Drosophila melanogaster: one gene and its partners. The gene in region 3 interacts genetically with the main gene of each other region. Each region holds a gene or a part of one and is shown on either strand. Other genes may lie near its edges.

Region 1 (8,237 bases), on a different chromosome or scaffold from region 3:
GACCAATTGTCTATAGAAAATGCAAATCAGAAAATTTCAAGAAATCAGGTCTACCTAAATAGTGGACGTGGGAGGGATAATTTTCCGAATTGAGGGCGTGACAGTTTTTTGTGGTTTGTAGGCATTAGAGTGGGCAAAATGTTTTGGCATATCAATAGAAATTGCAAGGCAGAAGGACATGGCCAGATAAACTCTTCTAGTAATCCTGACCGAGAATATATACCTTTTAAGGTCGGAAACACGACCCCGCACATGGTTTTCAAAAGTAATAAGTCCGTTTTCGGCTTTCTATGAATTCTCAGTACCATCACTTTACTGAGGACATTCAGACTCGCCAGTATCGATCAATCGAGGTTCTTTTGGGAGCGCCGTACAATTATACCGCCGACATCTGGAGCACAGCCTGTTTGGCCTTCGAGCTGGCCACCGGCGACTACCTGTTCGACCCTCACGCCGGAGAGTCTTACAGTCGGGACGAGGACCACTTGGCGCATATTGTGGAGCTGCTGGGCTCCATACCGCAGTCGGTGATCTTCCGCGGTAAGCACGGGCTGAAGTACTTCACCAGCTATGGTAGGTATCAAATCGAATTTAGCTCAAGGAATGGTGTGTGATGTGTGACCCCTGTTGATTCCCATTTGCAGGTAGCCTGAGGAACATCACCAAGCTGAAGCCCTGGAGTCTAATGAACGTGCTGGTGGAGAAGTACGACTGGGACCCGGTGGAGGCCAAGAAGTTCTCCGACTTTCTGCTGCCCATGCTTGAGTACAATCCGGTTATACGGGCGTCGGCAGCGGAGTGCCTGCAGCATCCGTGGTTGGAGCAGGAGGAGTTCGTCTAAGAGGCTCATGGAGTGACTAGACAGCCAGAGAGACACAGGCATAGGCACAGTAAAATATTGCATACATAACATACGTATTTCGTACTCGTATTGTATTTCTAGGCTTAACTTTTATATGCAAACAATTTGCCATAAAGAGGAGGTAGCAGGAAAATGGGATGAGGAGCTAGCATTAAAGGACTCGATCGAAGCACACACATTTTACACTTACGAAATGCGGACGATGTGGGGGCGTTCCGCGTCGAATTTTTTAAGCTTTTTAATTTTTGTACTTGAGAGCTTTAAAATGTAATTACTAAAGAAGCGATTTTACTTTTAACGACAAAAGCAAACGAGAGAAGTAGCGCAAATGTTTTTCAAGTTTTATTTCGACGACGTGCATATAAGTATATACATACATATACACATATATTTTTTATTAACTGAGAAACAAAAACAAAAGACAATGACGACAATTTTTAGTCAACAGATGCCTAAACTGACTGACTGAAAAGGAATACATTTTCATGCGAAACCAAGTAAAACCAAATCAGTGAGAAATGCTAAATAGATTGTACGAACTAGCAAAATATTCAGCATCACATAAATAACAATACCTTCTATAATATTAATAAGCAAGTATGTGTATAATTAACGAAACCCCATTGTAGATATCGAGAATGTTCACAAATACAGATGTAAACTCAAATATTGACAGCTTTTTAGCAGAGTGTAGTGATTTTGGTACATTTAACCGAACCCATTTGTAGATGTTTAGGCCTATGTTGATTACGAGCAGATTTGAAAAGATGCCCTACTTACCCGATTTCGGTTTGCAAAACTTATCATTTAACCATCCGTGAAAAAGAACCTATCCCAGATCATGTAATTCAAAAAGAATTAAAAACAATAATAAATCATTGCATAAAAGTCTTTGTATCGGAATTGAAAACTCAAAATCGAAATTTAAATACTACCAATGATAACTACTGAGAAATCATATTACAAAATAACGAAAACATATTTTACTACTTGCCTACAAGTATTTGTACACAAGCCTACAAAGTAACATTGAACGTGACCAAATAATTTAATATTGCGGAAGATTTTTCCCCCAAACTCATATTTAATATACACACACGTGTGCGCATGTGTCCAAATGAAATTTAACAGAAATTGAAGCGGAGGAGCTGCACGTTCGCGGGAGTGGACACATATTTCAATAAGCCGAAATAAAGAATATACATACCGATCCGATCTAGAGACAGCTTATTAATGTGGGATACTTATTTGGGTTGTATAAGCACTTTATTCGAAGTCGTACGAGTATAAAAATGCAGAGTCTAGAATACATTTGGGTATGTTTAACAGTTTTAAAGTATGTTAGATTAGCATAGTGATCGATAGTCGATCGGCGGATAAACTACATAAGCATTATGTGGAATACACAGATCGGCTCCATTTAGAGTGCCAGCCCTAAGATCTGTTCCTGCTTGTATACGCCATGGTACGCGTTGCGTATAAGCACGTAGGGAAAGCAGGACTCAAGCAGATCCATTGTGAGGAAGGGCGATTGTTTGACGATTTCGTCCAGCAGCAAATAGATGGACTCTCGGTTCCGTGTCGCCTCTTTGTCGGACTCCTGGCCCAAGCGCAGTAGGGAAGAACTGGCCAGAGCAAGGAACTCTTTCATGCGGTCCTCCATGTCACTTTGACCGCAGATGGTAAACAGGGCTCCGAAGATGTTATTAATGGCCGCCGCCATGCAGTGCGTGTTATTTGAGTGGCCATCAATTGTGGCTCTGTAGAAGGAATTTTCGTTACGGGCCAGTTTTGGTATAGACACTGCCACAAAGACCATCAGTAGACAGGCAGTGAGGTGCTCACCCTCATCGAATTCTGGCTTTTTTGATTTCAGTGTAGTTGCTAATGTGGGGTCTACCTTGCATAGCAGACCCGCTGCTGAGGCCATCTCGGAAGCAACCCTAATTTGGTCGCCTCCGGGCAAATGTTCCTGAAAGTCCTTCACTGAGCTAAGCAGGAAGGGTATGCGCTTGTCCAGCACATCAACGAGGGCTTCATGCACCAGGTTGCGGAAACATATGATCACACCAATGATCGTCATGCGTTGCAGCACGCGGTCCACGTCCTGTAAGCGCTTAAATTGCTCCTTCATCACTTCAGGTTTGTCAAAACTGGTTCGCAGTGTAATGAGCACTTCCTTGTTGGTGCTCACCAGCGACTTCAACTCTTGCACCTGGTTTGCTATGTGCCACATAAGTGTTTCGTTCAATGTTTTGATACCGTAAGGTCCCACAAGTTCTGCAAGTGCTCGCAGCTCGTTGAGATCAGAGAATTCCTGCGGGTTAAATGGTACCCAGCCCTCGGGCGAAATGGGAACAAAAGCCTTTTGGTTAATGGAGAACACAATGTTGCCAGCGGAGACACGCCTTAGCAGAACCTCACTGTACCAGGTGTTGTACAAAGCGGCAATGGTTTTCTCGCCATGAGAGTCTAAAGCCTGTGTTTGCTGCAACAGGCAGTTGTTGAAAACTCGTGTTATGTCTATGTGCACGTAGTTCTCTACTGTCTGCAGCACGTTCATGTAGGCTCGAACGCTGGCCAGCAGCTCCGAGGGCTTGGCTATCTCCATTGTCTCCTGGTTGAACATCACCATGCCAACAAGATCCCGGGAAAAGCGGTGTTCCAGGTTCTGACAGAGATACTCGCGAGGGGCAAAAGCAAACTCCCAAACGTTGACCGTGGGGCAATAATTGATTGCAAAACAAAGCTCCGTCAGGGCCATGTGCAACTTGTCCATCGTCGTCAGATCCTCTCGTGTCTTTCGGTACGACTCGTCTCCCGGCTTTCGTATGTCGTCAAAATGCTTAGACTTCGATTTGTCCTTCTTCTTACGAGCAGATTGTACGGAAAGAATCTTAGCACAGTGTTTTGGCAATAGAGCGTCTGCCATTGTGCACTGCTCATCGCAAATTGTGGTTATAATGTTTTTAGCCTCCTTAGCCATTTCCTCAAGAAATATATTTACCACGCTGAGAGACCTTTCACGTATATGGTGTCGCTCCTCCGGGCACATTTCGTGCGTACAATTTTGGAAGTGGCTGCAGATTAAGGGAAACGCTATGATGTAGCGGTTCTGCGCGGGAAACTCCAAGCACATGTGGAATTGGTCGTCAAACATTTTGTTATAGAAACAGAAGATACTGAGATCCGAGGTTTCTACTAGTATTTCGTCCAAGTTATCTACCACCCTAGTGTGGAAAACCATTGAATCCAGTAGGCGGGCCAGCTCTGCATGCTCTGCGATCCTAAGTGCAGCCTTTCCCACACTCATGTACGTTTGGAGGCGGAACCAGTCCAGGCGGAATGGTCGGAAATAAAAGAGTTCGTTGTCTTCCACCTGCTTAACTGTCAGGGCTGCAGCCGTGTTGTAGAGCGAACTGAAGATTATGCTTTCGTCTTCTGGACACATTTGCAGACTTTGCATTCGAATATTAAGATCCGTGGCATCGAATCCGGACAAGTATTGCACGTAATATCGCTGCATTACCTGGCTGTATTTACGCACAAGAGCGCGGAGTTCCTCCATGTGGAATAAGAGCTCCGGCAGCTGTCGGTCTACAAGATCTTCATTGCTCTTTCCTATAAATTTAAAATAGTTAAGGTTCACAAATTTTAATTTAATCGTAAGAAAATCCTTAACTAACCTTTATTTTTGAGAAGAGGTGGGTTGTCATTATGCCTGAGGAGCCATAGAATCTCATCGCGCGCAAGACAAAGACCGATGAAAATGAATATTGCCTTAGGTCCCAGGAGGCCTGGTTGGTCGGTCATAATAAGAGCTAGCTCCTTCAAGGCTGTTCGAAGAAACTTGCGCCGCTCCCGATGCATTAAAGCAGCTTTTTGAACCGCCGTGTTGTAGGCTTCCTTTACTTCTCCGATCCGCTTGCTGTAACCTTTAATTCCGTCGAAAGTAGCCTGAATGTATTGATGAATTTGCAGGACCTCGTCGCGGAACAAGGCCACAACCCAGCTTGACTCCAGGGCGGAGAGCCAGATTTTGTTGACTTCCGGGTACTGTCCGAGCATTTGATGGTTCAGCAGCAAGCCAAAGATTATCCAGCGGTCCATTGCCTCCAGGGATATGTACTCGCAGGACATGGTGTCAGTGCGGACGGCCTTAAGAAGAATGGCCGGATTGCCTACCAGACTCAACTTTTGCATTTCCCTCCACTTGTCTGCTGGCAGGTTTCGCAGTGCATAGATGGAGGTCAGCGACCGCAACGCACTGGTTAGCAGGCGCTGGTGGGGAATGAATTCCTCGGCCAACTTTTTTAAGGGGACCTCGTAGTCCAGAATCATCTGCCCCAAGCGGGGGAAGCCCGTGTCCGCCTGATTGTTTTGCAGCTCGTAGGCGGCATTGTACAAGCCCAGAACTGCCTTGCGGTCCTCGACCCTAGACAAAACAATCATCAAGGACACGTAGGTCACAACCAAGTCCAGATAATATTTGGTCAGCTCGAAGTTCAATGTGATGTCCAGGTGAATCTGGCAGGCGTCCATCGTGGTGAGCAGTTCGCATACATTGTCCTTGAAATCAAGTAGGTCCACGAATGTGTGGTAATACAGGGACAGCGACTTAATAATCTCCGCTTTGATGTTTACAATAGCATTGAGCCCTTTGACGTCGATGTTGGGGAACCGCTTCACGATAAACTTGATGCTCGATTCCAACGACTTCTCGGAGAGGAAGCCTGGCTTCGACTTGGTGTCGCCGCATGCTTTCTTGATGTTGTATATCCGCGTAAGAATGCCCAGGCCGCGGTCATTCAAGATGATTAGTTTCTCAGCTATCTTCTGCTGGTTCGGAAAAATTGGGCGTGCCATATCCGATGACTGTTGGCGACGTCGAATGGCTGAAGGCGAGTTTCCGGTGGAGCCCAGAACACAGGTGTGCGCTGGCGAGACGTATTGGGAGGCGTGCAAGTGCTGATTTGCCCAGTACTTATACTTTTTCGTTTGTTAAATTGGCCGAAAAGGAGCGACACAAAAGTGTACACATTACTCTTCCTCTTGTTTTCGCGTTAGTGATGACCAATGGGCTGATAGCAAAGATATATTGCTATCGATAACGATAGCTACCATATATATGCTAAACTATTGATTGTTAAAAAGAAAATATACTGCTGAGAAAAAAAACATATGGCTTAATATAATTTAAGATAATTTTTTTATAATTATATATTACAGTAATTTGGTTATACTACAAATTAATAATAGCTGGTATTTGGGGTTTTAATTTATTAGAATTATTTGTCTAAGTCAGGAATAATTGCTTTCAAAACTATTGCATAGTTTATTCATTCAATTGCCAATGGCTTTCTTACTTAGTAACTTACAGTTCAGTTTTTTATTCTTATGGCTAACAAATTTATTAAAGTTGTTAATAGTAAATAAGCCTTTCTTTTTTTTTCAGTGCTGTCGTCAGCTGATTATCAAGGATGCCGCTCATCGGAACCTACTATCGATATCGCGAACCCATGAGCTAGAGAGCGATTAATGAACCACTAGTTCCGTACCTCGGGCACGTTGTGTGCCACGCAAAAACGCCGCAAGTCAGTTGAATTTCTGATATAAAAGGTGGGCGAATAAGCTCTGTTACTTGATAAATAATACAACAGTGAACTTTGACAGCCATGGGAAAAAAACTAGAGCGGAACGACGTGTGTCGGGTGCCAGAGAACATTAATTTCCCGGCCGAGGAGGAGAACGTACTGCAGAAATGGCGACACGAAAATATCTTTGAAAAGTGCAGCCAGCTGTCGAAGGGAAAGCCCAAGTAAGTGCCGCATACGATTGCATCAGCCGATCGCCAAATTTTGTGCTAATTTTCCACCTCCAAGATACACGTTCTACGATGGACCGCCCTTTGCAACCGGGCTGCCCCACTACGGACACATTCTTGCTGGCACCATCAAGGACATCGTCACACGGTACGCATACCAGCAGGGATACCATGTGGACCGTCGCTTCGGCTGGGATTGCCACGGACTGCCCGTGGAGTTCGAGATTGACAAGCTGCTGAATATCAAGGGTCCTGAGGACGTGGCCAAGATGGGAATCGCAGCCTACAATGCCGAGTGCCGGAAGATTGTCATGCGTTACGCAGATGAGTGGGAGAATGTGGTGACGCGCGTGGGTCGCTGGATTGACTTCAAGAACGATTACAAGACGTTGTACCCATGGTACATGGAGTCCATTTGGTGGATCTTCAAGCAACTGTTCGACAAGGGTCTGGTCTACCAGGGCGTTAAGGTGATGCCCTATTCCACCGCCTGCACAACGTCCCTTTCGAACTTCGAGGCCAACCAAAACTACAAGGAGGTTGTGGACCCTTGCGTAGTAGTTGCACTGGAGGCCGTTTCGTTGCCCAATACCTTCTTCCTAGTGTGGACCACCACGCCATGGACACTGCCCTCAAACTTCGCATGCTGTGTTCATCCGACGATGACCTATGTAAAAGTGCGCGACGTAAAGAGCGACCGACTTTTTGTTCTCGCAGAGTCTCGTCTCTCTTACGTGTACAAATCGGAGACGGAGTACGAAGTGAAGGAAAAGTTTGTTGGCAAAACCCTTAAGGACCTTCACTACAAGCCGCTTTTCCCTTACTTTGCGAAGCGAGGAGCTGAGGTGAAAGCTTATCGTGTCCTGGTCGACGAGTACGTGACTGAGGATTCCGGTACGGGTATTGTGCACAATGCTCCCTACTTCGGAGAAGACGATTATCGTGTGTGCCTCGCTGCGGGCCTCATCACAAAGTCCAGTGAGGTTCTCTGCCCAGTGGACGAGGCAGGACGGTTTACTAACGAGGCAAGCGATTTCGAGGGCCAATACGTCAAAGATTCTGATAAGCAAATAATGGCCGCGCTGAAGGCACGAGGAAACTTGGTTTCCAGTGGCCAGGTGAAGCATAGCTACCCATTCTGCTGGCGGTCAGACACGCCTCTTATCTATAAGGCGGTTCCTTCCTGGTTTGTGCGCGTCGAGCACATGTCTAAAAACCTGCTTGATTGCAGTTCCCAAACGTACTGGGTGCCGGACTTCGTCAAGGAGAAACGTTTTGGAAACTGGCTGAAAGAGGCCAGAGATTGGGCTGTAAGTTTTGTAAAGGAAACTTTTTTGTTATGTTTTTAAATCAAATTATATATCTAGATCTCCCGCAATCGCTACTGGGGCACGCCGATTCCTATCTGGAGGTCGCCTAGCGGTGATGAGACCGTCGTTATCGGCAGTATCAAGCAGTTAGCCGAGCTTTCCGGCGTTCAAGTCGAGGATCTTCATAGAGAAAGTATCGACCACATTGAAATACCATCGGCAGTTCCTGGAAATCCACCAC
Region 2 (7,183 bases), on a different chromosome or scaffold from region 3:
TTTTCAAAATAAATTAAGGGCTGTGAGTAATTATGGAAAAAATGTACAAAATCATATCAGGAAGTGACTTTACACTTTCCACAGGGCATATGATGTGAGTAGAATGAACTTATAGAAGTAATAATTCCATAAATATTTTATTATTTATTAAATGGCTGCTACCTCATATATAAGCTTTAGTTTGTGTGTTTAGCACTACAACATGCTATTAATATGGTCTGAAATAAATAATAAAACCACGCATGCTGAGCCCGTTAATTGCCTTCAGAACCTTAGAGTATGTTCCCCAATTTCCCACCTCAATTACCAAACAATTTGTGTTCGATTTTGGTGCGTTGTGGCCCACGGTATCGTTGTTGGTGTGACTCAATGCTAACAATGGAATTTGTTGTTGCTGGCAGTACGCTGCGTATGCAAATAGCGACAGATAAAACGGCACTACGTGATCACCGCGATAAAGACAATCCAACGGACAGCATTGAACAACGCCCACAACTTTTAAACATTTGTTTGCATCGAATAAATTTTTGGAATTAATATCGTGTAAAAGCGAAAGCTGCCACTGTCTTTTCAGTTTAGTATAATATTTTCCCCACTATGTCATATTGTTTCTCACATTTGTGGTTTTTGTGCATCGGTAATTTCCCAAGGTGGCTGGCTAATCGATGCAGTCGCAGAAAACGTGGAACATTGCAAGGAGAAACTAGACAGAACTAAGCAGTTGTCTCGACTTAAAGTTACCTAATTACAACTTTCTATGCTTAGTCCAAAATCATACCAAGAGTCCACATCCCAATTATTTCGGCTATAACCAAAATTGGTCCTGAAATGTGCGCCCTGCATTCTCAGTATTGCATTCAATTCCACTTCCGCCACAATTCCCCACTCCCCACTAAGTACTGGGTAGTAAAGTACGCCCTAACCTTTAAAGGACTGGGGCAAATCAGTTCTTTTTCAGTTATACTCTGGCTATTTTTATAGACCTGGCTAACGACTTGCACTAATGGCCAACGTCAGGCAATGGTCGCGGCCGGCTGCGTAGGCCCACGGAACATGGCCCACGACCCGCGTCACGGCCGATTGCACTTTAACACTTGACCAGGTTGAAACACCGGACACCGGAGAGCGGAGAACGCGGGTGTGTCCAGCGTACAATTTCCATTCCATTCTCGATTTTCATTTATGTACGTGCCAGAGAATTTCCATAAACTCGCGGGGTCACGTGTTGTTATCGTTAACGCAATGCAGGTAGTTTCGGTTCATTTGTGTTTTCCCTCCACTTTTCCAGCGTGCCTAGTATACCTGTGCCGCGATTTTTCCCCTGAAAATGATGGATTATATCTGTTTAGGGCGGAAATTCAAACGAAAGCCGTACAGAAACCACTCTCGAAGTGAAGATGACGCTGATGATCTTCGCTGTCGGTGTCTGGATTTTACGATGGAAGCTGCCATAAACCAGTTGCTGTGATGCCTTTCAGGGATTTCCCAGCCCAGACATTCATTTTCTCTTCTTTTTATTCGTCGGTTTTCCTTGTCAATCATAAACCAAAGTCATTTGATAAATTCTACGATAAAAGGTATACGAAAATACAGGGCCTATAGAGAGGTTGGTTCTTTACAATTAAAAGAAAATGTGTTCATGGAAATGAATGAATTATAGCTCTTTATTAGGGCTTTTCACTCGTTTGGATTTTTTTTAATTATTAAGCTGAAAATTTGTTTACTATTAGCTTCAAGAGCTGATAAACTGGTTTACTATGTTTTCGCTGCACTCCAGGGCTTTCCCTACTTCGAGTTGGAAAACTCTTTCTCTATCTGTGCTCCCTTCTCCTGAGTGTTCTTCTTATCAACCTATCAACGGAATTGCGGTATTGCTGACGTTGAGTTGGCCGCGCTTTTGCAACTGTTGTACTTCACTTTCCGGCCAAAAGATAAGATTGCGCGTAACAACAGCCGGATGGCTGGCCGTTTGGAGGGTTGGTACTCGAATTGTAAATAAATAGACCCAATTTTTGAGGTCGTTTTTGCACAATCCGTTGGAAAAAGGGGGCAGACAATGCTAAGCCAGCCAAACAATTGAGCCGCGGACAACATGTAACAGAAAATTACACATAATGAGTCAGCAAGAGTTGTGAATCAATTATTATGATCGTTATGCGATAAGTTTCACAGATTTCACTGTTGTGATATCGCTAAAAGCGCTTTGAAAATGCAGACAAATGAGGTTTTATTACCAAAAAATCGCACCAGTATCAACAAATGCAGAAACAATAATTTGTTACGATTCCCTGTTATTTACCTAAAAATATGATATCCATTTGTAAGCTACAGTGTGTAAAAAATGCGGGTCACGTTAAAATATCTCTTCTGGTTTCAGTAATTAATTCTTCTTGGCCAAGATTGCTAACATTAACCGCCTTTGAAGCTATAATTTGATTAATTATCTCTCTCAGCGACTAAAGTTGTACTCTACTAAATATAAATTTATACGCAATCGAAGCTAATACATTTCTAAGCATTCCTTTTGTTTGCAAGATAAGACCGAGCACACAATCATCAAAAATTAGAAATGAGTGTATAATTAACACAATCAAACTTCAGGTAAGCCAGCTCCATGAGTCACTTCTTGAAGGAAAACCCGTTGAACGAGTTTTTCGTAGGCCCGAAATCATTGAAAATCCAAATTCCTTTTACCCAACATGACTTGGTCAACATCCCCAAAACACACGAATGCCCCACCACACACACACATGACCTGTTGCTCTTTTTTTTCGATTACGAGCTTTTGAAACATCAGCAAATGTTTAAGCTAAAGAATGCATGTGGCTCATCATATAAATTATTTACAGTGTGACTTCCGTAACTCAATCTCATTAACTCATTAATCATATGAGCAGCCAAAGGCTTAAACACAATAACAACATTACAAATTCCATTTAAAATGGGCATCTAATATACATTTTAATAATTTATAACGGGCAAGTTCAGTGCTGTGGAGTGATCACTGTAGCTTAAGAACCGCGTAAACACCGTGTTGCTCTCTCATGTCCCCATCTTCGCTCTCTCCTCCTGAATGTCCTCGACTGCCTATCGCCCTCCCTCTCACTCACTCGCTAGCTCCCTCTCAGGGTTCTCTCTCACCTGTTGCTAAGTAAATAAGTATGAAGAGCGGTATCCATTGAGGCGACGAATAAACTGAAATGGCGCGCTTGAGCAAATGCGACGTAATTTGAGCTGCGCTTTTCGTGCGGTCTCGACTTCTTGCTGTTGTTGTTGCTGTTTCTACTGATGCCGCCACTGTTGTTGTTGTGGTCGTTGCTGTTTCTGCTTGCCGCTGTTTTTGTTGTTGCGACAGTGACGCATTGGCGATTTTAGCCATGATCGCTGATTTGTTGGCTCAAGTCGAGTTTTCGTATTGGAAAGGGTTGCTTTTGGCTAGATATTATTGCTATTCAAACGATACTCATTGAGCTTGTTGTTGTTGGTAATTGCATTCTCCCTTCTCTCTGCTCCACGCAAACACTCATACGCACACACACACACGCGCGCAATCGGCACTTGGCTTAGAACAGGTTATTTTTATTTTTTTTAAGTTATATTCCTCTTTTTCTGCTAGTTGTATTATTTGCAAACTTTCGCACGCGACACTTTCTAGCCTGAATTTGAATATTGAGCACAGAGATTCCACTTTGAGCCAACTAATTTGCCATTTCTTCCCAGGCCACGATTCTGAATCACACCAACACACACACACACATACGAGCGCCGAAGACTTGGCTTAAAAGAGAGGTGCGCTGTTCTTGTTGTTGTCGCTGCCCTTTTGAACTGCAAGCAGCACACACACACGCGCGCGCACACACATTGGCCAAAACGGGGCGAAAAAAACGTTACGAGCGCGAGCAACCAATAAAACGTACGTACGAGCAGCAAGAAAAATGTTCGACCGTTTGAATCGGCGATATCCGTTTCGTGGGCTTATATATGGTGCAGTGTGACCAGTCCGCTTGGCTAGGTTTGGCTGGATTTTGATATAGAGTCAACATGCATGGCCACACTGATATTCAAGTTGCACAGTGGTACAATATGTACAAAAAAAATATTTTGTTCTTGAATTGATTTCGCACAAGAATTAAACCGTTAATTACATTTTCATAAAACTTTACTGATATAACTATTCAATATATCAATTAATATCGTGTGTATGTCTAGGTGACATTCCAAAATACACGAGCATAGTAAAGTTTAATTTATGGCGGGAACATGAAAACGTAAACTTCACTTAAATTACCAACGGCAGTTATGGGTTTTGTAAGTTGTGACCTACATCATCATAATCCAAATAGAATAAACCTTTTATAATACCGCAAATCTTAACTTGCGAAAATTCCGCACTGCACATATTTTCAAGTCGGAATGCATAAAAGTAAATTCCCCATAAATCAAGAAGCCGGCGGATAGCAACTACGTACTTAATGTAAATGTAAACGGCCACAAAGCGCCGACTTATCGTTTCAAAGAGAACTCAGCATAAACAGGCAGCACCGACAACATGTCGTCAATTTTTGGAGGTCTAGGTGGGACTATATAATGTGGGTAAGCCTGGTTAGAAATCACAGCAGTTGGGGAATTAGCAAAATGGGCAAATCGCAAAATAATACTGGTTCGCTTTTGCTACTGATTATACTGGGCATTTCTCTGGGAGATTCCATGCCCCTGGAGGATATGGACTCCCAGGAAATGATTGACTTGACAGATCTTGGAGATACTCTGTTCGGTAATCCGGACGTGGAGACGACTGGAGCTTTGGTTGAGGCACTCGGTGTGGAATCCCCGCTGAATCCCGAGGAGCTGGGAACCTACCACGAAGGTGACATCCTGATTCCACTGAGCTACAGGGACGCCCGATTCAATGGCACTCGTAATGGCATTTTGGCGCTGAGTTCCCGCTGGCCGGGCGGCGTTGTGCCCTACGAGATCAAAGGTCCTTTTACCAGCCAGGAATTGGGGAATATTAACCACGCTTTTAAGGTGAGGTTTCAGTAATAGTCCCTATTACAATTTACAAATAAGATTTTGTATCTTAGGAATACCACACCAAAACATGCGTGCGCTTCAAGCCCAGGACCACCGAAAAGGATTACATCTCCATTGGTAGCGGAAAGTCTGGCTGCTGGAGTAGCATTGGGCGCTTAGGTGGTCGCCAGGAAGTGAATCTGCAGTCGCCCAACTGCTTGCGTACATACGGCACTCCCATTCACGAGCTGATGCACGCCCTGGGCTTCTTCCATGAGCAGAATCGTCACGAACGTGACTCCTATGTGCGCGTGATGAAGGACAACATCAAGCCCGAGATGATGGTCAACTTCGAGAAGTCCAGTTCCAGGACACAGTACGGCTTCGGCGTGGAATACGACTATGGCAGTGTGATGCACTACTCCCCCACCAGTTTCACTCGGAATGGCCAGCCCACGTTGAAGGCACTGCGTGCCACATCCGATGCCAGCCAGATGGGTCAACGCAAGGGCTTCTCAGCCGGAGATGTGCGCAAGATCAACGCAATGTACAAGTGCAAGGTGTAGATGACAACTGCAGTCGAAGCATTCGGTAACAGTATTTTGACAAACATAAATATTTATCATCAACAATCAATTGTGTTTACTGAAAAAATATGTCTATGGGTACAATATTTGGTTAGATAATTAACAATCGCCTATGTGCGTCGTGTCTTGTACTGCTCCGGGAACTCTCACGCCATCCCATCCTAGTGGTACGGCAGGTTCTTATTTGTCTCAAAGAAATAGTTGCCCTGCATGTTGAGCTCCTTGCAGATCGTCGAGAATCTTCGGATGGCGTTGTACGTGCCGAGGTTACTTCCATCTTCACAGGGAAACACAAAGCATAACAGAAGATACTATATATACAGCACAGCAAGTGTCCGATTGCATGCATTGGTTGGTTGATTGGTTAGTAATCCGGATCATTCACTCCAGTCAGCGGATGGTTAGTGGGGACGCGCCTTTTGGATGGTGGCCTTACCTGGGCCCGCGAAACCGGCACCCGTCGCATTCAAATCCAGATTCATGTAGAGAGCCATGTTTCCGGTTGATCCGTGCCGAGATCGATTGTTTAAGAAGTCCCGGATATGCTGAACGATCAAATCGATGGCCACTGAAAGGAAAAGAGCGGACAATTAGTTCGCACTCAGTTTGGAAATATCAAATCGTAATGCTGCACCATCGTAAGCATTGCAACTCAATGTGGAACAATGCACTTACCTCGCTGCTCCTCCCGAGCTCCGCCGATCCAAGCGGTCTAGTCTAAGCCCAGGACTTATTCTAGCTCTAGTTAGTGGGATCTATTACCTAAACGCATCTAAGCTGGGCGGCATGTTCTGGTTATTGTTAAGCTACTGTGTTTTGTGACTGAAGTTAGTGTGCTTTACAATAAACTGGTTGTGTACTTACTAAATGAAACACCGATTTATCTTCACGCCTTGATAGGCTAATCACTGCCTTGCATTTGTATATATTTGAGACTGCATAAAGGTGTTTAAAAGGGGCGCGTTTTGATAACACTATAGTCGCAGGTTCCGACTTCAAAGATGCCCGGTACTAATGATATCTAATTTATATTAGCCCTTACTTTTTATAAGGATATAAATATTGCTTAAGAAGAATTCATAGAAACATCTAAAATGTATGTGACCAAAAGTTGTGAGTTTAAGGAATGAGATAAATATAACTCCAATATGTTTAAGTTAGCAAAGGGATTTAATAGCAAAGTAATTAACGTATTCTAGTCAGGAGTTTATACGAAATATTCAAGAAAATGTTGCTTATAAAACGTAATAAAGCTATTGCTTATAATAACATTCACAAACCAGAGATGGATAGGAGTAGTTTTCAAAGTATCGGGCACCATTAAACATAGATACAATAGTTAGAAGTGTAACATGTGTGGTTTGGTGGATAGAGTGCTTAAGTCCTCGCGAGAAGCCAATTGGGGCACCGGGGTTAAGTTTTAACGCTTTAACTTAAAAGTTAGACTGGAATTGCCATCGCAGGTTGGGTTATCTTGATGAACAGAAACGAGCTTACATACACACTACCATGTATTGTTGAACATATGCAAGAGTAGATACTAAAGATACTTTTCAATCTTAGGACTACGTTAATCGGTTACG
Region 3 (10,095 bases):
TCCTTCTGGTACTGCTACTTCAGTACGAAGTGGTTAGGACGGACAGCGATAGCAGCGACAGCAGCAGCAGCAGCAGTGGAGAGAAGAAGCACAAGCACTCCAAGACGGAGCACAAGTACAATTATCCTGCATATCCTAATCCGGGCTATCCTCCGTATCAAGAAATGGGAGGCTATCCTTCATATCTCTACAATCCGTACATGCCGTATCCTCCGTATCCTCAAATGGGAGGCTATCCTTCATATCCCTACAATCTGTACATGCCCCCACCACCACCACCACCGCCACACCCGCAACAAGCTCCGCCACCATCAATGTATCCACCCGACCCGTCCGGATATCCAGGCGGCTATCCACCGCAGGGGGCTCCCGGACAGAATCCAGTTAACAACCCAAATGCGATCCCCAATCAGCCTCAGGCACAGCAGCCTGCCAGCGGCCCGGGATCAGGGCCTGCCCCGAACTATCCTCCAGGCGGCTCGAGCGTTATTAATCATTCCCTTAAGGTCAACAAGGAATACAACGAGGACGGTCACCACCAATCTTCAACGTAGTCGCAGTCGAGATACAATGTTACATGAAACTTTAAACGTCGGATTGGGCCTCAAGTTTCAAGTCGGCCTTCAATACAATGTAGCAAAGTCGAATTAAAGATTTAAACAGTACTTGGAATTTTCACAATTTTCACAGTCTTTGATTAAATAAAAGAAAGAAATGTTCTCTTACCATTGTAAATAAAGACATTACTGAAAAGGTAAAACGAGATATTTTAGTATCACATATATTTCATAATATAAAAGGTACTTGAATATGTTTTATACACAAATGTACAAAATCATGTATGTACATATTAGGCAGTCTACTTTTCCACTATTGTGCTGTGGTTATACAAGTGCACGTGGTAGACGTAGCTGTTCATGCATTTCTGGATACTGAGCACTAGTGGGTCAAAGGGATGCCAAATAAAGGCGCACAATTCCCGTGGCGCCAAAGGATTTAAATGCCGGCGGGCCGTAGCGTGCAGTCTAAACTTGATTGAATCCGTGGCACGGTCAAGAAACACAATAGGATCGTTGCAGCAGCGATGGGGTTGCTCCAGAGGAGACACGTACCGACTGTCGTATCTAAATTCGTTGAACTTTAGATAGGGCGACGAGGAAAGGCTCTGGGAGCTGAGTGGAACGCTGGGGTTGAAGCGCAAGGCCGTATGTCGATCGACGGAGACCGATTCATTGGAATCCGCAAAGGTATGCCTTAGGAAAAAATGCATGGGCAATGAAGGTGCATCACCGAATTGCAGCGATCGATCATTGCTCATGTAGTCATTGAATTGCAGTAAGATTTGCAGCAGGTTGACGGAATATTCCGGATAAACGCCAACCACTTCTTCGCCAGTTATGGTGTAGAATACATACAAGCGGCGCGGTGATGTAGCCATGGGCATGGTATCGGTACCATTTGGCCGCTCTTCATAGCGCAACATTAGAAGTTCATTGTTCACCAGATGCATTCTCTCCATGATCATGTGTTCTATCTAAATGAGATATGTAAGGATGTGAAGACCGTTGTCACTCTTTATAATGTTACTTACATACTCAAAGTTTTTATAAAACGACTTCTGACTTTCCGTCGGGTTGCCACTTTTATCATTAATTTTACGGTACAGAAAGCTAAGGACGCGCTGTTTAATGTGCGTTATGGGCAAAACTGTGGTGGCGTCAAGATTGTCAAAGTCTGTGGTAGCCTTCTCGATAAAGTCCCTCGGCCTGGGACCAATAGTCTCCTGCTGGTGGAACTTACCGTCATTCACCCAATAGACGTAAACGCACTGATGCAGCCGGGACATCATCATCACTGTTGAGCCAAACACGGAAATTCCATGATTGTGGGCAATGACGATGGAGTCGTTAGGCAGGATAAGTCTATCTGTGACGACGCCTAGCTTCAAATCCACCAGAAAGAACACATACGAGAAGGCGTCCACTTTGTCGAACAGATCTGGGTACCGTACGTAGTCATCGACCGGCAGTGCGCCGCGCACAACGGTCATGGCAGCCAGCATGGCATAACGACCCTCTTCCAGGAACACACTGAACTCCCGGTGCAGATAGTAGAGGCCAAAGTCGCCTTGGCATAGATTCAGCGTCTCTTTTGTGGGAAACAGGCGTTCAAAGATCCTGCTCTTGAGTATGGTGTCCTGGCTACTGAAGCACTCGCCACTGCCTACATCCGCCTGGCGAATCAGTTCACCCACCGCCGCACAACTAGAACCCCCGTAGCTGTATATGAGCAGACTGCGCTGATCCTGCGAGAAGGCCAACAGTTTTCTGCCATCCGGCGTAAACTTGCGCAGGTAGATCGGCGGAATGGTAATCGAGTCAATTGTCAGGCAAGGCGTGATGCACTTGTAGAAGAGACGCTCGTAGGCCAACAGCGGCATCCTGCCCGGCTGTTGGCCCACGTTGGTGTATCCGGACTCGCGGTTCTGCAGCAGATGCACGAGGTTCTGCGATTGTAGGCGCTTCTTGTAGGCCATTCTGACAGATCCTGGGAAAGTTCTGCCAAGTTCCTATTCCTAATGTCAGCCGGGTTCTTCTTCCGATCGGAAGGTAACTAAAGTAAAGTGTGACCGCAGTTAGATTACAAAAATTTACTCTGTCTACAAAAGTTTTGTTGTTAAAAAATATAAGTATAATAATAATAATATTAATGCTTTTCAAGATTCAAATAAAAAACGTTATTTATAAATAAAATAATTCAATACATCTTACTTTACTTTGTTTAAAAAAATGTGTAAATGAATTATCTATGAAAAGCAAATTTAGATTTATTTATTTTTTTTTTTAAATAAAATTATTCTTGAGTGCTTTTAAATGCTCTAAGTATATTATGTATTTCTGAACCATTAGCCTCTTTGATTACGACACCGTTTCATAAACATTTGATGTATAACATTACATATATTTTTTTAATTTTTATCATTAAATATCGTCAACTTTTAATTCCAAACTTGGTTTTACATCACCTCATCTTTAGCTTACACAAATCCCGCGCAAACGTTCTAACGGTTTTCAAAAAACAATGTATTTTTCGAAAATTTTCGGAATTTTAAATTACTATTTCACTTTATTCAGAGTCGAAATGTTCGCAGACATATAAATATACACATCTGTTAGGGATTACGTTGCCCATTCCAGTGACTGCCAAGCGGAGACTATAGTAAGCTTAGACATTGTAGCCTACAATGTGACGCTTGCCGATGCACTCGCCGATGTAGAACCAGAAGATGACCTCGGCGGTCACCAGGGTGTTAAGCCAGGCCTCGCGAACCGTGAGGTTCTTGTAGGCGCCGGTCTTGGCTCCCTTGATGATGTTGCCCAGTCCTTGGCGAATGGCCGGAATATCGGCGGGCGTCGGGGGCGTCAGTTCCACCTTGGCGTACTTCAGGAACACGTCCAGTTGGGGCCTCGCCTGTGTGAGGAGCCCTGCAAAAAGTGATCATTACATAATTTTGCGATTGACAGGCGCCAATGGTGGTGTATCCATTCGATTGCATTCGATTCACGACACTCACTGTTCACAAGTCCTGATCCCTTGGTAGCCAAACTCGCCATCTTTTCAATTTGGTTCTGCAAGCAGTTGGAATTATACAAGAGGAAATCAACGAAATGTGCGGAAAACTTACCTATTCAGTGTGCGACGAAACAGAGATGTTATGCATTGGGGCCAGGGCTGGAGCACTAGTTATCGATCGGCGGATAAATACCAAAAATACCAAATATACATTTCTAAAGTTAATGGAAGAAACTGCAAACAGTAATTTTAAATAACGTTAATAAAATAGCTTATTATGGATAATATAGAGTTAAAATAAAATAAAATAAATTGAATATATATTTATATTTAAAATATTTCATTCTATACAGTAAATAAACAATATGAAATGAGTTACTGAAAATTCCCTTGCAAAATTTATTTAAATATAGTAATTAAAATACATATTACATTTAATATAAAAATAACTTTTTCCCCACCGCATCGTGCAGTATATTTGTCTGATTTTCCGAAATGATGAATCCCTGCAGTATTTTCGAACCACAAAGCTTCGGTCACACTGCAAAGGTGTGGAAATCTTAGTTTCCACAAAACGAGCAAATATTTGCAGTTTTCAAGCCCCAAATTGGCTAATTAGAGTTCGCATCGGATCGAATTTGCCACCGAACCCCCGAAACGGAAGTGGCTGCTTAATGTTTGTTGTGGTGCCAGCCGCCAAACGAAAAGTGTGACGGGCGGTGAGTGTACGATATGCTGTAAAGTGAGGTGGACTGTGTAAAACTAAGCTGCGCCGTTCAAAACCAAAATCAAAATCGCAGCAGCCACTACGATTAGAAAGTGTGAGAGATACCTTTGTGTGTGCATTGTTGCGATTTAGTGCGAATGTTTCAGTGCGAAAATCTGAAAGAGTCAGCCGTTCCGTCCCACACATATGTATGTACATTTACTTGGGTGCTGCTGCTGCTGCGGTTCATGCGTGTGTGTGAGTGCGTGACGGTCTAATTTGCGTTGGTGGGAGGCCGCCGACGATATACGTATATGCACGTATGGAATAGGTGCCCACGTAAAGGCCCCAGGTCGTAGCACCCAGAAACTGCCACCGAAAAGGGGGGCATTATCGACTAATCTCGCCGGGACTGCAAGGTGCATCTTGCGGGGGTGACTTGGGCGTTACGCCCTTATCACCTCGCTGTGGGTATCGTTTCGTGGGGTGTGGTCCAGACGTCGAGTTCGTCAGTCGCGCATATCACAAAACAATTCAAATGGCATTTTGGTGATTGTAATGAACACGTCTCATGGATACATGGATAAGCGTCTCGTGAAATCTTCTGCAATACCATTCTGAGTCTTGTTCATAGACGGTTTAGTATAGTGATGACAAAATTTCTTTTAAACCAATTTTGATAGTATCCAATTAACTTTTTAAACGTCTACTTTTACGGGAAAATTTATAAACAAAGTTAAACGACAATTTGGGAAGTACAATTTTATCGGAATGAAATGTCTTCAATTGATAATCAGCATAAAAAGAAATCTTTTTATTATTGATCCCAATTTGGCATGAGATTATGTAGTAAATCAGTAAATAAAGGGTTTTATATTTAATTAATTTTAAATGCATTAATTCGTATTAAAACAATTTATTACTTATTAATGCCGTTTTCAGTCGATGAGGACGCACTAATTTACGGGTTTGCCAATTTGGAGATAATTGTCAATCGCGCCCGACCATGCCGCTGCCCAAACGATCCATAGAACCCGTGCATGTGGCCCGCTCCGTGTATCAGCAGGATGAGCTGCAATCCGTGGAGCTGGAGACGGTCACCAACACCACGCTGACGAACATCATTCGCCAGCTGTCCTCGCTGTCCAAGCACGCAGAGGATGTGTTCGGTGAACTGGCCCGCGACGTGGGCAACATCGGGGATCGAGCTAACTCCCTGCAGGCGCGCATCGATCGCCTAGCTATCAAAGTTACCCAGCTGGACAGCACAGTTGAGGAGGTGCCCTTGACGGACATTACCCGAAAGAAGGCCTTCAAGTCGGCCAAGGTTTTTGATCAACAGATCTTCTCGCGCGCCACCATGCCGGCACCAATGATGGACACATATGCCCAGTGCGACAAACCGCCGCCCCTCGACAAGCTTAATGTCTATCGAGACGATGGCAAGGATGGTCTTAAGTTCTACACGGATCCGAACTACTTCTTTGAGTTGTGGCGACAGGAGATGCTGAAGGATACCGAACGTGTGATGCACGACAAGGGCAAGAAGCTGAACAGACCGCGGCAGGATGGCGGTGCCGGCGGAGCTGCTGGACGTGGCAATAAGAAACAGAAGACCAAAATAAGGGTGCCGCACAATACGCGCGAACAGCAGCGACAACGTGCACTGGTGCACGGCGAAACATTGATGCCCAACAACGTCATCTACCGCACACCGAATTCCATGGTCAACGAAGAAGCCGGATACGGAAGTAAGTACTTGGCGAAAGGGATTGGTCTCCGTGTGAGCCAAGTATTCAGTGCGAACCAAATTCATAGGCTGTTATTGGTACGTTCGTTTCGCGCACTGACTATTTGCACTTGTCTTGCCTATTGAATGGTACATCTATTTTAATTATCAATTATGTCCTGTCTGCCCGTGTAGTTCAGCTAGTCAAAATACAGACTGTGGGCGAGGCTGACATCGATTTGCGGCATAGCACTCTCGATGCGCACCACCAAGTTGTCGGTAATATCCAAGACGTAGGTACGATGATGGGGCCACGTAGCTTTCATTTCCGCCCGGCAGACATCCCACGATACAGATGTACCCGCCATTCATTCACCTACTTCACTCAAAAGCTCGCTAGTTTTCGATGCGCCTCAAAACCCAGTTCGAAGATCACTAATTTGTATTATTTTGAAGTTGCTATTAATTGAAATTAACCCACACAATCATGACCCAGAGAAAGGTGACCGAAACAAAGTTTCCAGAGCTTAAAAAATAAATGAAATGGTACTTAACATAAATTCCATCTAAAGTTTGATTAAAATCTCAGATACAGGATATATTCGATCTAATTCATTATTATTACACCATTAGCAAAATGGTCTATGGCCAGTCTAGTTCATCCTCCTGTAAGTTAGCAAGACTTTCGAACTTGATTTGTCTCTAATTTGAATTCACTGACTTTGTTCCAATGAAGTTCGTCTTGTTGATGGTAAATACAATACGGTCAGAGAACCTTACAATTTCATTCTCCGAATGGTCGATTATTTTTCGCAGCTTTTATTTATTTGCATGTTGTTTTTATGAACTACTCTTTCGTTGTTTTCGGTTATGATATTAATGAACGTGAACATAAATATGCATTGCAATTACGAATGGATCAATCGCGCATAACCATCTCATTTACAGATACAGTAAAGCCTTATAATATGCTTTCGCATTTGGAGAATAACAGTAATGTCACCAAGCAAACCGCCGTTGCGATTGCAGGTTAGACATCCACATCCACTTTTAGCAAGCTCAGTAAAGACTATATATGTTCTTTCACTCGCTTCTATCCCCATATTACCTTACTAGCAATCCTTTTTGAGTTCCTTTAGCATTTGTGTGTACAGAGAACACTCTCTTTTTCAAACTATCAATCGGAATGGCGATGATTTATGAGTTTCATTGGTCATGCAAAGTGCAGATTTATTATCTCAAAACACTGTAAACTAGTCACCTTCTAACTTGCAATTTTAATGTAATGTGTGTGCACATTATATTTACAATGCATCTTGCATTTTGCATAATACTTTAATTCATTTCATACTCGCGATTCGTGATTGAGCCGCAGTTTTTGTTTAGGATCCTCCTATCTTTCTGTTGTAGTTCAGTCAATTTCCATATCTACGTCTACATGTCACTCTGCAGCTTTACTAATTCCTTTCTGTCGCCACATCTTATTCTACGAAAGTATCTCTAAATTGTTTTCTGTGCAACGAGCTAACAAAGACTTTTAATCGGATGTTTGTATATTCAACAAAATTTCTATTCGAGTCCAGCGGTCTCATATGCACAGAAATTTGGAATTGCTTGTAATTACATATGTGTCTTATTGTTCCTCGGCTGTAATTACAAAATAATTGGCGTGTTTTTAAATGAGATGTGTGTCCTGTAAAAACGTTCATTTTAATGGGTGGTTAGTCAACGGCTCTAATATCTCACATTCATTATTCTAGATATGGGAGTGTACGATACACGTCCGCCACGTCCTAACTCGATCGAATTGAACCGAAGCTATCAGTCGGAGCAGATCGATGGTAGCACCTACGAGCAGCTTCCACCGCAGATGGGTAATCAGTATGCTGCCACCTTCGGCAACGGCATGGGTGGCCCCCAGCAGATGCACATGCAGCATCAGCAGATGTATGACGCCGGAATGTATCAGTCGCATGCGCTGTACGGCCAAACTGGACAGGGAGTGATGTCGCCGGAGCCCATCTACGGACCGGGAACACCGTCGCGTAACAAACCGCGTCCGTCGCAGCCGCCACCGGCTCCGCCATCGAATGGCAGCGGTGGTGGTACGCCCACAGCCTCCAATGCCAACACTCCGACAAGGGGCAGAAGTATGTCGACCAGTCGGGATGCCTTGCCACCGCCTCCACCAGTTCCAGACGTCATTTCACCAATGTCTGGCATGAACGGAGTCAACAGCGGGCATATGGCGGCCAAACTGCTTGGCCGGGCGAACAGTTCGTCGGGAGCTGGATCTCCCAACAGCGTCCAGAATGCCAATGATATGGTCATGACGCAACTGAGCAATACTTTCCACAGCATCGGTATGACGGGCAATCAACTGAACTCCCTTAGCGACTTGCCGCCACCGCCGCCGGTTCCAGATCAGGTTTGTTGTTCACTGATGGGTGTTAATATATCACAATTTGGTTTAATTTGTGGCAAAACCTTACAGCACTCGCCTAAGATGTCGCCACCTAATGCCGCGCCACCACCGCCGCCGCCACCGCCTCCAGTCGAGGAAGGCATGGGCAGTGGCAACCAACACACGCTGCGCCCGCATCAAATTCTTCCCAAATCACTGGCCAATGGCGAAATGCAGCAGCCCGGCCAACAAAATGGTGTGCCTCACATTGTCGCACCCAAGAAGATGCTGCCTCCATTCCATGACCCACGCAACGACTTGATGAAGGCCATTCGAGATGGTAAGTAATTGCCATTCAAGGTTCGAATGCAAAAATATCATCAAATTAATCTTTCCAGGTATTACTCTACGTAAAGTTGAAAAGTCAGAGCAAAAGGAAATTGAACGAAACGCGGCGCCATTGGATGTGGCTTCAATCTTGGCCAGACGTGTGGCTATCGAATTATCCGAGTCCGAGGATTCGGATAGCGAAGACGACAGCGAGGGCTGGATGGAACCGAACGAAACATCGGCTTGATCCCTGATTAACTCGTTAAAGCCTGACATAATTCTAAAAAACAAAAAGAAGAAGTAATTCCAAAGAGAATTAATCCATACGATGGTCGAAACCAAGCGTGGTATGAAATTGGATTACACAAAAGCACCAAAGCTTTTCTACCACCCTTTATACAATATACACCTAATCCTAAATAATATGTCTAAAATCAAAAGTTTCATTGAATTGTATATACACCAACGAGTAATTATCGTTAAATTAATCGCTATAGTGAACGAACGCATTTGCATTTTAAGCCTAGACGACAATCCAAGGAAAGCGATTTAAAAGACTTGCTAATTTTGTTCGCTTCTTTGGAGTCAAGGTCTGAGTAGATATGGGCTTCTGTATCATAGTAGTCGGTGTTTGGATATTAAATTATAAATAATCGATATTATCACTGAACTCAATCCTACCCCAACTTGCAATCGATACGATTAATATAAAACATTTATCCAAAATGAAAATTTAGAATTTTGTAAATACAAACACATTAAAATATATCGAACTCCGTAGCATTTCAGTATACTCAACAAGCTATGAAATTGTATTATCCTTGTGAAAGTTAAATACCTGTATAATTAATAAAATATGTTTCACGAATATAAGCAGCCATGAATGTGTGGTTAAGTAAGCAAACATGGATGTATGTAATTTTTCTTTACATAAACTAAAATATACAATAAAAAATAAAGTAATTATATTCCAAATTAATGAACATGTCTTGATAGATAACTTTAAATGTTTGTTTGGGAATTTCCTCTGGTCTTATGCTTAAATACCAGAATCTTAATCCTCAATTTTGCTTTTGTTTGAAAAAAGAGCAGTAATGCATTTCAAATACAAAATATTTAGTCATAAATGCTGAAGTGCTTAGCAAAAGTAAGAAAGTATTGAAAAAGTATAAATGTCTGGGCTAGTTTCATATATGGCCTCTTAGTAAGGATTAATACTCCATTCTAAATTATATCCAATTATAGATAATAAAACTTCTTTTCGAGCGCGTTTTGCGGAATAGAGTGCAAGTTCGTACCCACGAGGGTAGCTAGCTTCTTAGCGTACTGGCAAACTGCTGGCACTCGTGTGGT
Region 4 (7,145 bases), on a different chromosome or scaffold from region 3:
CACCATTCCCATCTTTGTTGAGGGTCGCTCCGAGCCCATCATCAATGCCCACAAGGAGATACCGAACCAGAACGCTCCGCCCAGTGCTCAGGCCCAAGCTCAGGCACAGGCATATGCGCAGGCGCAGCCACAGGCACACGCTGCTCCACAGCAGCACAACAGACCGACGCCACTAAACACCCAGGCGCAACCTGAGCAGCAGGTGCCAGTTGAGGGAGCCGCTGGATTGCCGCCACAGACACCACATACCCTCAACTCTATTAACAAAATCCAGGACATTCAGCGCGACGTACTGGAGCTCATGGGCAAGGTGGAGCAGTTCAAGGGAACGCGCGAGGAGAAGGAGTACGCCTACCTGGACGAGATGCTGACCCGCAACCTGCTTAAGCTAGACACCATCGACACAAACGGCAAGGACAGCATTCGTCTGGCCCGAAAGGAGGCTATCAAGTAAGTGACCAGAGTCACCAGAGCTCATTATCGAATTTAATTAATTCAATGATTGTTCCTTGCAGATGCATTCAGGCTTCGATAAATGTGCTGGAGGCCAAGGCCGAGGAGAATGCCAGAGCGGCATCAGGAGCAGCACCTGCACCTAGCGCAACAGCTCCAGCGGTTGACACAGGTGCAGTTGCTGCCTCGGAAGCGGCCGGACAAAATGCGGAGCCAGTGACTCCACAGCCACAGGATGCTACAAAGATGCAGGAACCCATCCCTCTACCAGCACCACCAAATGCTGCTGCCGTCGAGGGCGCAGCTGCTTCGGAAGCCACCGCCGCGGAGGCGACACAGTCCGCCGTTCAGTCGGAGACAACCACAACGACGTCGGAATGATGAACACAGCGCCTCTACAAGGCGACCGTTTCGAAGCAGCTACGCAAATTAACCAAATTTAAGTGACAACAGGCGGAGGATAGAGAAGAGTTCCGATCCCGACTCATCAACGGACAGCGACAGACTTGATTTTACTGAATTCAAAGTAAATGTGAAAGTGAATTTGATGTGTAATGTGAATGTGAATAGGAGGAGCTGGCGACGAATCTTTGCTAGTATTTCGTAGAAGCACAACCGTACTATCTAAACATATGCAAATCTCACGTGTCAACCACTCAACACCCACTCATCCCCACACATCATAACACACACACACACACACACACACCACACAGCGTAGATTATAGGCTAGTAAGAGAATTAATATTGAGAAAATGTGCCTGCATAGAATTCGGAAGTTAACAGAGCGAAAACGATTTGGCAACAAGGGTTGCTTCACTTAAAAGAGCTGATTATGTTTAAGCGATAGATGATCACCATGAGGATATTTTTGAACCTGAGTCCAGTTTTTATACGTAAATTGTACCGATGAGCAGCAACAGGGGCAGCAAGCCGCCGTATGATCTCATACAAATCTACAGCAGACGCGCTTGCTTGCCACAGGCCAACTCATCCATCCAATCACGCCGAGTGCACCACTCACGGCTTTGCTGCAGGTGAATTGTTAAACGAACGTAAACTCTTATAGAAAAAAAAAAAAAACTATGATAACTATTTATGCTACTAATTAATGCGAAAATAAATGTAGATATTGTTGACCATAAAACTGTGTTATCCTTCGGTTGCACAATTATCAAAGTTTATTATCGAAAAGGTTATAAATCTCGATCAATAATACATATACAAAAGAACCCTGGATCGGGAATGGAGCGGGCCTTAAATACTGACTAAGTGGTTACTTTGTATGTATCCTAAGAACATTTTAAAAGGACGCAACACGGCTTCGGCAATCGAGGCCAAACAATGATATAATATGTATACAAATGGGAACAACGTATGATAGGGTTGCATATGTGGCATGGATTATACGTTATATAATAATATGTATGTAGATAAAAAACAGACGCGTGATGTACGATAAAAATCTTATAGTCGCATTTAGTCATCGTTGAATCTCTTCTAGGTGTATCGCATTATTGTTCAAGATTATGGGGTAAAGTGTTTAAGTAGCTATAGTCCGGATCCAAAATATAGTTGCTAGCTGCATTGGTGTAGATATTTAGCAAAAGGGCGTCCCAGCTGCTTGGCACTTGGGTTTCCCTAGTTGATGATCTCGACATAGTTTGCCGGAAACAGTCCATAGGTTCCATCAGGGCCCAGTCCCTGCCACCATCCCTCGTCGATTTGATCGATATGCGTAATGACATCGCCTGGATCGAAAGTGATCTCTGTCTCGTCGGCTGCCTGGTAATCGTATAGAGCTCGTGCCCGTTGTCCCAGATCGCCTAAGGTCTCCTGGCAGATAAAATCGTCCTCGTTTACCAAATCCGTTACTACAAAAAACACTCGTGTTTAAATATAGAACGAACAACGGGTCATAGCTATGGTTTACGTACATGCATTCCTTTCGAGTGTGCTCATGCCGCTCGACTTGACCGATTGCGACTGCTGCACGGTGACTGACACCTTGGTGCGGACCTCCTCTTCCTGTTCCTGGGAAACAGCGGTGTCTGTTTCATTGGAAGAGGTGGTCTCGTCGGGCGACTGAGACTGCAGCGAGTTCGATTTACTATGGGGTGATCGCTTGATAGTCGAGAACTGTTCGCTCTCATGGGCCAGTGGCAAATCGTCTACCGGTTGCGACTCCTCCACCTCCGCTATTGTGGAAACAACCTCGGCAGCCACGGGAGCAGCAGGAGCTATAGCTGGAGCGGGGACTACTGGTTCGGGAGCCTCTACAGGCAACGGTTTGGCAGGGGACGCAGCGCGTGGTGGTGAAGGCACAGGTGCATCTTGAGGCTGGTTTTGGTTGAAAACGTTGATGCGCTGGGCAATCGAGTTGCGAGCTGGTTTGGCCGGCGGTTGCGTATTTAGTCTATGAATCAAAAGAGCAGTTTATTTCTGATACAACAAAATAGGAGAGGGGCAAGGACGCACTTAGACTGAAGTTGTCCCTCGCTCGTGTGCTTTGTAAACATGGCCTTGGCAGCACCCACACGAGAGCCAATCAATTCGCGGGCCTCCTGGTTCCTCGCCTGACGCATGCGCTCCGCATCGGTCAGATTGTTGGCAAATCCTGGTGCAGTTTTCTCAGGGCTCAAAGGTTGCGGTGACCTGTTTGATAAAAAAAGAATTTTTACTACCGAGAAGGTCAAATTCCGATGTTTTTGTTTACGTTTTGATGGGTACGTGGGCCGGCTGGAGCTTGGTGGTGCTTATGACCAACTTCTCCCGCTCCTTGTGCTCCTTCTCCTCGCGACTACGTTGCTCCTGCTCCAACTTTTGAAGCTCAAGCCGCTTGGATTCCTTCTCTGCCTCCTGTCGCAATTTCTCCTCGGCCTCCTCCTTTTTCCAGAAGTCCTGCATAACGCTGGCGTTTAACTCCTTGGTGGGAATGACCCGAGTATAGTTGGTTCCCACCGGCGCCTTCTGCTCCTCCATGGCGCCTCGAGGTTCCTTAAAGCTGTAGGCTGAGCTCACGGTGCTCAGCTTCTTGAGAAGCCGATCCAAGTCAATATCGTCCTCGTTCCGGGCATTGATGGTAAGGTGAGCGCCGGACAGCAAATTACTCACATCACGTATGTGGTTGGCGCAGGTACCCTTGCGTAGAACAGGTGCGCCCTCGCCCTGAATGGGAGCACAGTCAGATTATGCGTAGCTCGATTAGATAAGGGCGCCGTCGGACTCACCTGCCAGTTGATGAGCAAGTACTTGTTGAGGCCCGTTTTGGGGTCTTCGATTCGGACGAAGGCGTACATAATCTTGCCGCTATTTAGGTCTTCGTTTAGCTCATCCACGCCGCCATCGCCGGTGGCCACCACCTTCAGCTCGTTGGTCTGACCCTCGTAGCCAAAGAGGGACCAGTTCGTGTCGCTCTTATCGTCCAGCACATCCTTCCAGGCGGCCACTATTTGCGCCCGATTCTTCTCGAAGCTGACGGCCATAATTCCAGACTGACAACGACCTTGAGCAGCGAGATCTTGGCCAGCTTTCACTGGGTCGCCTTATCGGGGTGCCCTCTTCGTCAAGTGAAAGCCAACGCCTCGCGAAGACTCCAAATTTGCTTGGGTTGTCTTGTCTTAAATTTTAATTAAGTGCAGCCGCCTCACAAAGGCACACAGACGTACACAAACACAAGCAGAACAATGGGATAGTGGGTGATTGATTTTCCAGTATGTGCGAATTTCCAGCGGCTTTCCAAATTCCACTTTTCCACCTTAATCCTTCGAGTTATGCGTGCAGAAATAGGTTTAACTTAACGCTCAAGCAATTGCAACTCCCCAATTAACCAATTTGATTGGAATTTTAAAATATTCGATCGCTGGCGGCGACCCACACACTTTTTTTGCAACAACAAACTAGAGCTGGGACAACAGGCGATGTCTAATCGATACTTTCAATGTTGCCACTGTGCCGCTATCGATGGTTTTTACTTGTAAAATTGAAATTAAATAACAGAGGTTTTAGAACGTATCTAGTAACGTGTACCTCGTCTAATAGGCTTTGATTTACTTTATCGTTTTTCTTATAGGTGTTAGTCGTAAAGTTTCAACTATATATATAAGCATTATCTTCTTTTTTAATAATCACACATACGAACATTTTTCGTTTTTATATTTTATTCAACTTTTTTGTATCTCTATCCAATGGAAAAAACTGGTATATGGTGTTTATTCATATCATAACCTTTATATTTGCTTATAATATACTTTGCAAATACTATTGACAAATAATATGTTTTAGGTTGTTAGGTATGTTTACATTGTTTGTACATTAAGTTTTCTAAAAATGGTTCGAGTCAACGCTAATGTTATATGTGGGCTTAAGTCACCGCTGAACAATATTAGTGTTGGTAAGGCTGAGCAAATATCGATGTGAATACAGACTGATGACTTTGGCCATCGATGTTACATCGACGTATCTTCCAGCTCTAACGCGAACTGAACTATTATTGCAATTATACCAAAAATCATCGAACCCCCGCTTTTCCCAGCGCAAATCGTGAAAAGTCGGTGAAAATTAGCGAGGATAAATCGCCGTACAGCTGAGGAGCAGGATTCCAGCGAGGATTTGAAGGCGCACACCTGGCGAAAGGTAAAGTGGCTCCACTGTTGTGGCCTGATATTTACGTATATTAATGTGGAAACTAGACGTCGGATGCTGGCTGGCTGTATGGTTGGCTGACTGGCTAGCAACAATATGGCTCTGGCTGCTGTACTTTGGTCATTGCCGAAATATTCAACGGAGCAGCCCCCGAACTCTTGGTCTTGGGGCCTCCGAAAAAAACCAGTCCCAAGTGCATCGTGGCCCCTCACCGCCCCGCCACCGTGCATGTCCCCTCATCAGCATCCACTTCCACAGCTTTCCGATCAGATGGCAACTGTTTGGCAGCAGGATTTCGCCTTCGTCTTACTTGTTTCAAGTCAGCCAGTCAGGCAGTCAGTCTTTGTTCGCTTTGGTTTGGTTTTGGCTTTGGTTTTGGTTTTGTTCCATTTACATATATGCCAATGCCAGGCTCGGGCGATATATCCAGTTTTTCACTTGGATATCTCGGTGTATATATTGTAAGGCACACATACGAGAGAGATGTGTGTGCGGCTTAAGTGTGTGTGGTGCGGCTGTTCATGGTCAATTTCTTTGCATTTTCAGTGTGAAACTCATGCGGTGCAGATCGAGTCGGTGCAGGAGCAGCGAAACCAAGTCCAAGTCCAACTCCAAATCCACGTCCAATCCCACGTAGAAGCGTTGAGATCATCATGGAAACGGCGCTGGATGTACTCTCTAGAGCGGCGACCATGGTGCAAAACAATCCCAGCGGTAAGTGAACAAACCGATCCGACCCAGACTTACAGACCAACAAAAAAACACCAACTGGAGCCATTAACCAATTCCGTTTAAAAAGAGTCGACAATTTTTATGATTTCAACTTGGCCAACAACATGCCCTGATGTACTCAACCCAAACGGGGCAGTGGGGGTGGGGGTTATACACAGCTCTTTTATGGCTTTCACCTTTGAGCCAAGAAGACTCGGAAAGTATTTCAACAATGTGTCAGACACAGAAAGAAATGCCCAGTAATATGAACATCTTGCGTCTAAAACATTCATGGGAATGTAAAGCAGTGATTCAAATTAGTAGTAGCTCTTTACAAATTTAAAATAATTTCTGAATGGATTTAATGTGAATGAACTTGGAAAACTCTACAAGTCTGCTAAACTGATAAGTCTTAATAGATGTCAAGATTTTTGCTTACATAAAAACATCATTATATTCTAGACTATCAAAGTCACATTATATAAAGAAACAAAATGTAACAAAACGTTTTGCAAACGATTTCATGCCTAGTTAATGAATTCCCAAATGTAATCTGATTATTATTCACATACTTCGTATGCTACCAATCAGAGGTGCTGTTTGTTATCACATTTTGCCATATTACATTTAATCTTTGAATTCAGATTTGCTATTGGGCTCTAACTCCTCTCAGTGTATCCAGTCGCAGACCCTTCTGCGTGCTCCAGTCATGATTCACGATTGCAACAGTGCCCCCTTTCCGGCTGACATCTTCCTCTTTGTAACCGCGATCCCCCAGTCAGACAGTTTCTTCCGAAATTCTACCCACCCGGCGACATCGATGAGTGCGACAATGGACGCAAGCGGATTCCTGGCCGCGAACACTGTGCGAACGCATAAACACTCGACGAATCCGAGAAATGTTTTATTTTCGTACAAAAAAACGACAACAAAACATTCCAACAAAATGAGTTTGCGGCGCATTCCGATTCCGATTTTCATAAATGTGTCAAATGCCGCATTTTCGATGGCAGAGAGCGGCAGTCGAGCGGTTGGCATATGTGAAGTATCGTCGGCCACCGGACCCGGGGACCCCTTATCAATAATAGCCAGCCAGCCAGCCAGTCAGCCAGTCGTTTTCGTAGTGCCACTGCGGCTGACGAGCACGAATTGTCGACTTGATGTGGCTGTGGATGGGGCATTCGTTCGTTCATTTGTTCGTCCGTAGTGCATATTTCTGTACTGGCGACATATCTTTTATATGTATATTTGCAATTTGCATTCTCTGCCCACCATGCGACACACCATGGCACACCACCCAGAGCGGCAAACCGCGTGACATGCCAAAGAAATGGCCG

What was found.
Region 1: of SCAR (region 3) and Hem, changing one suppresses a phenotype caused by changing the other (phenotypic suppression), as found in Drosophila melanogaster (2 studies listed by BioGRID).
Region 2: of SCAR (region 3) and crb, changing one suppresses a phenotype caused by changing the other (phenotypic suppression), as found in Drosophila melanogaster (one study listed by BioGRID).
Region 4: of SCAR (region 3) and Abp1, changing one suppresses a phenotype caused by changing the other (phenotypic suppression), as found in Drosophila melanogaster (one study listed by BioGRID).

The regions. Positions count from the first base shown.
Region 1 is NT_037436.4:22,282,260-22,290,496, forward strand, and holds Hem (HEM-protein), read right to left. Parts: upstream 5,937-8,237; 5' UTR 5,729-5,936; coding exon 4,549-5,728; intron 4,484-4,548; coding exon 2,283-4,483; 3' UTR 2,095-2,282; downstream 1-2,094. Other genes in the region: Srpk79D (Serine-arginine protein kinase at 79D), read left to right, coding at 303-573, 645-841; IleRS (Isoleucyl-tRNA synthetase), read left to right, coding at 6,538-6,680, 6,745-7,996, 8,054-8,237. UniProt on the Drosophila melanogaster protein: Plays a role during growth of the oocyte.
Region 2 is NT_033777.3:24,291,823-24,299,005, reverse strand, and holds the start of crb (crumbs), read right to left. Parts: upstream 3,929-7,183; 5' UTR 3,380-3,928; coding exon 3,142-3,379; intron 1-3,141. Other genes in the region: CG5715 (uncharacterized protein), read left to right, coding at 4,636-5,028, 5,085-5,579; Uck (Uridine-cytidine kinase), read right to left, coding at 5,762-5,877, 6,037-6,168.
Region 3 is NT_033779.5:10,972,677-10,982,771, forward strand, and holds SCAR (SCAR), read left to right. Parts: upstream 1-4,095; 5' UTR 4,096-4,394; intron 4,395-5,221; 5' UTR 5,222-5,285; coding exon 5,286-6,030; intron 6,031-6,203; coding exon 6,204-6,305; intron 6,306-6,956; coding exon 6,957-7,037; intron 7,038-7,768; coding exon 7,769-8,436; intron 8,437-8,502; coding exon 8,503-8,752; intron 8,753-8,810; coding exon 8,811-8,989; coding exon of another isoform or gene 8,990-9,046; 3' UTR 9,047-9,719; downstream 9,720-10,095. Other genes in the region: CG16743 (uncharacterized protein), read left to right, coding at 1-554; abo (abnormal oocyte), read right to left, coding at 860-1,534, 1,592-2,536; ATPsynG (ATP synthase, subunit G), read right to left, coding at 3,226-3,485, 3,575-3,614; piwi (P-element induced wimpy testis), read right to left, coding at 9,982-10,095.
Region 4 is NT_037436.4:13,481,920-13,489,064, forward strand, and holds Abp1 (actin binding protein 1), read right to left. Parts: upstream 4,362-7,145; 5' UTR 3,939-4,361; coding exon 3,684-3,938; intron 3,622-3,683; coding exon 3,170-3,621; intron 3,109-3,169; coding exon 2,932-3,108; intron 2,870-2,931; coding exon 2,391-2,869; intron 2,328-2,390; coding exon 2,095-2,327; 3' UTR 1,614-2,094; downstream 1-1,613. Other genes in the region: stv (starvin), read left to right, coding at 1-450, 516-834.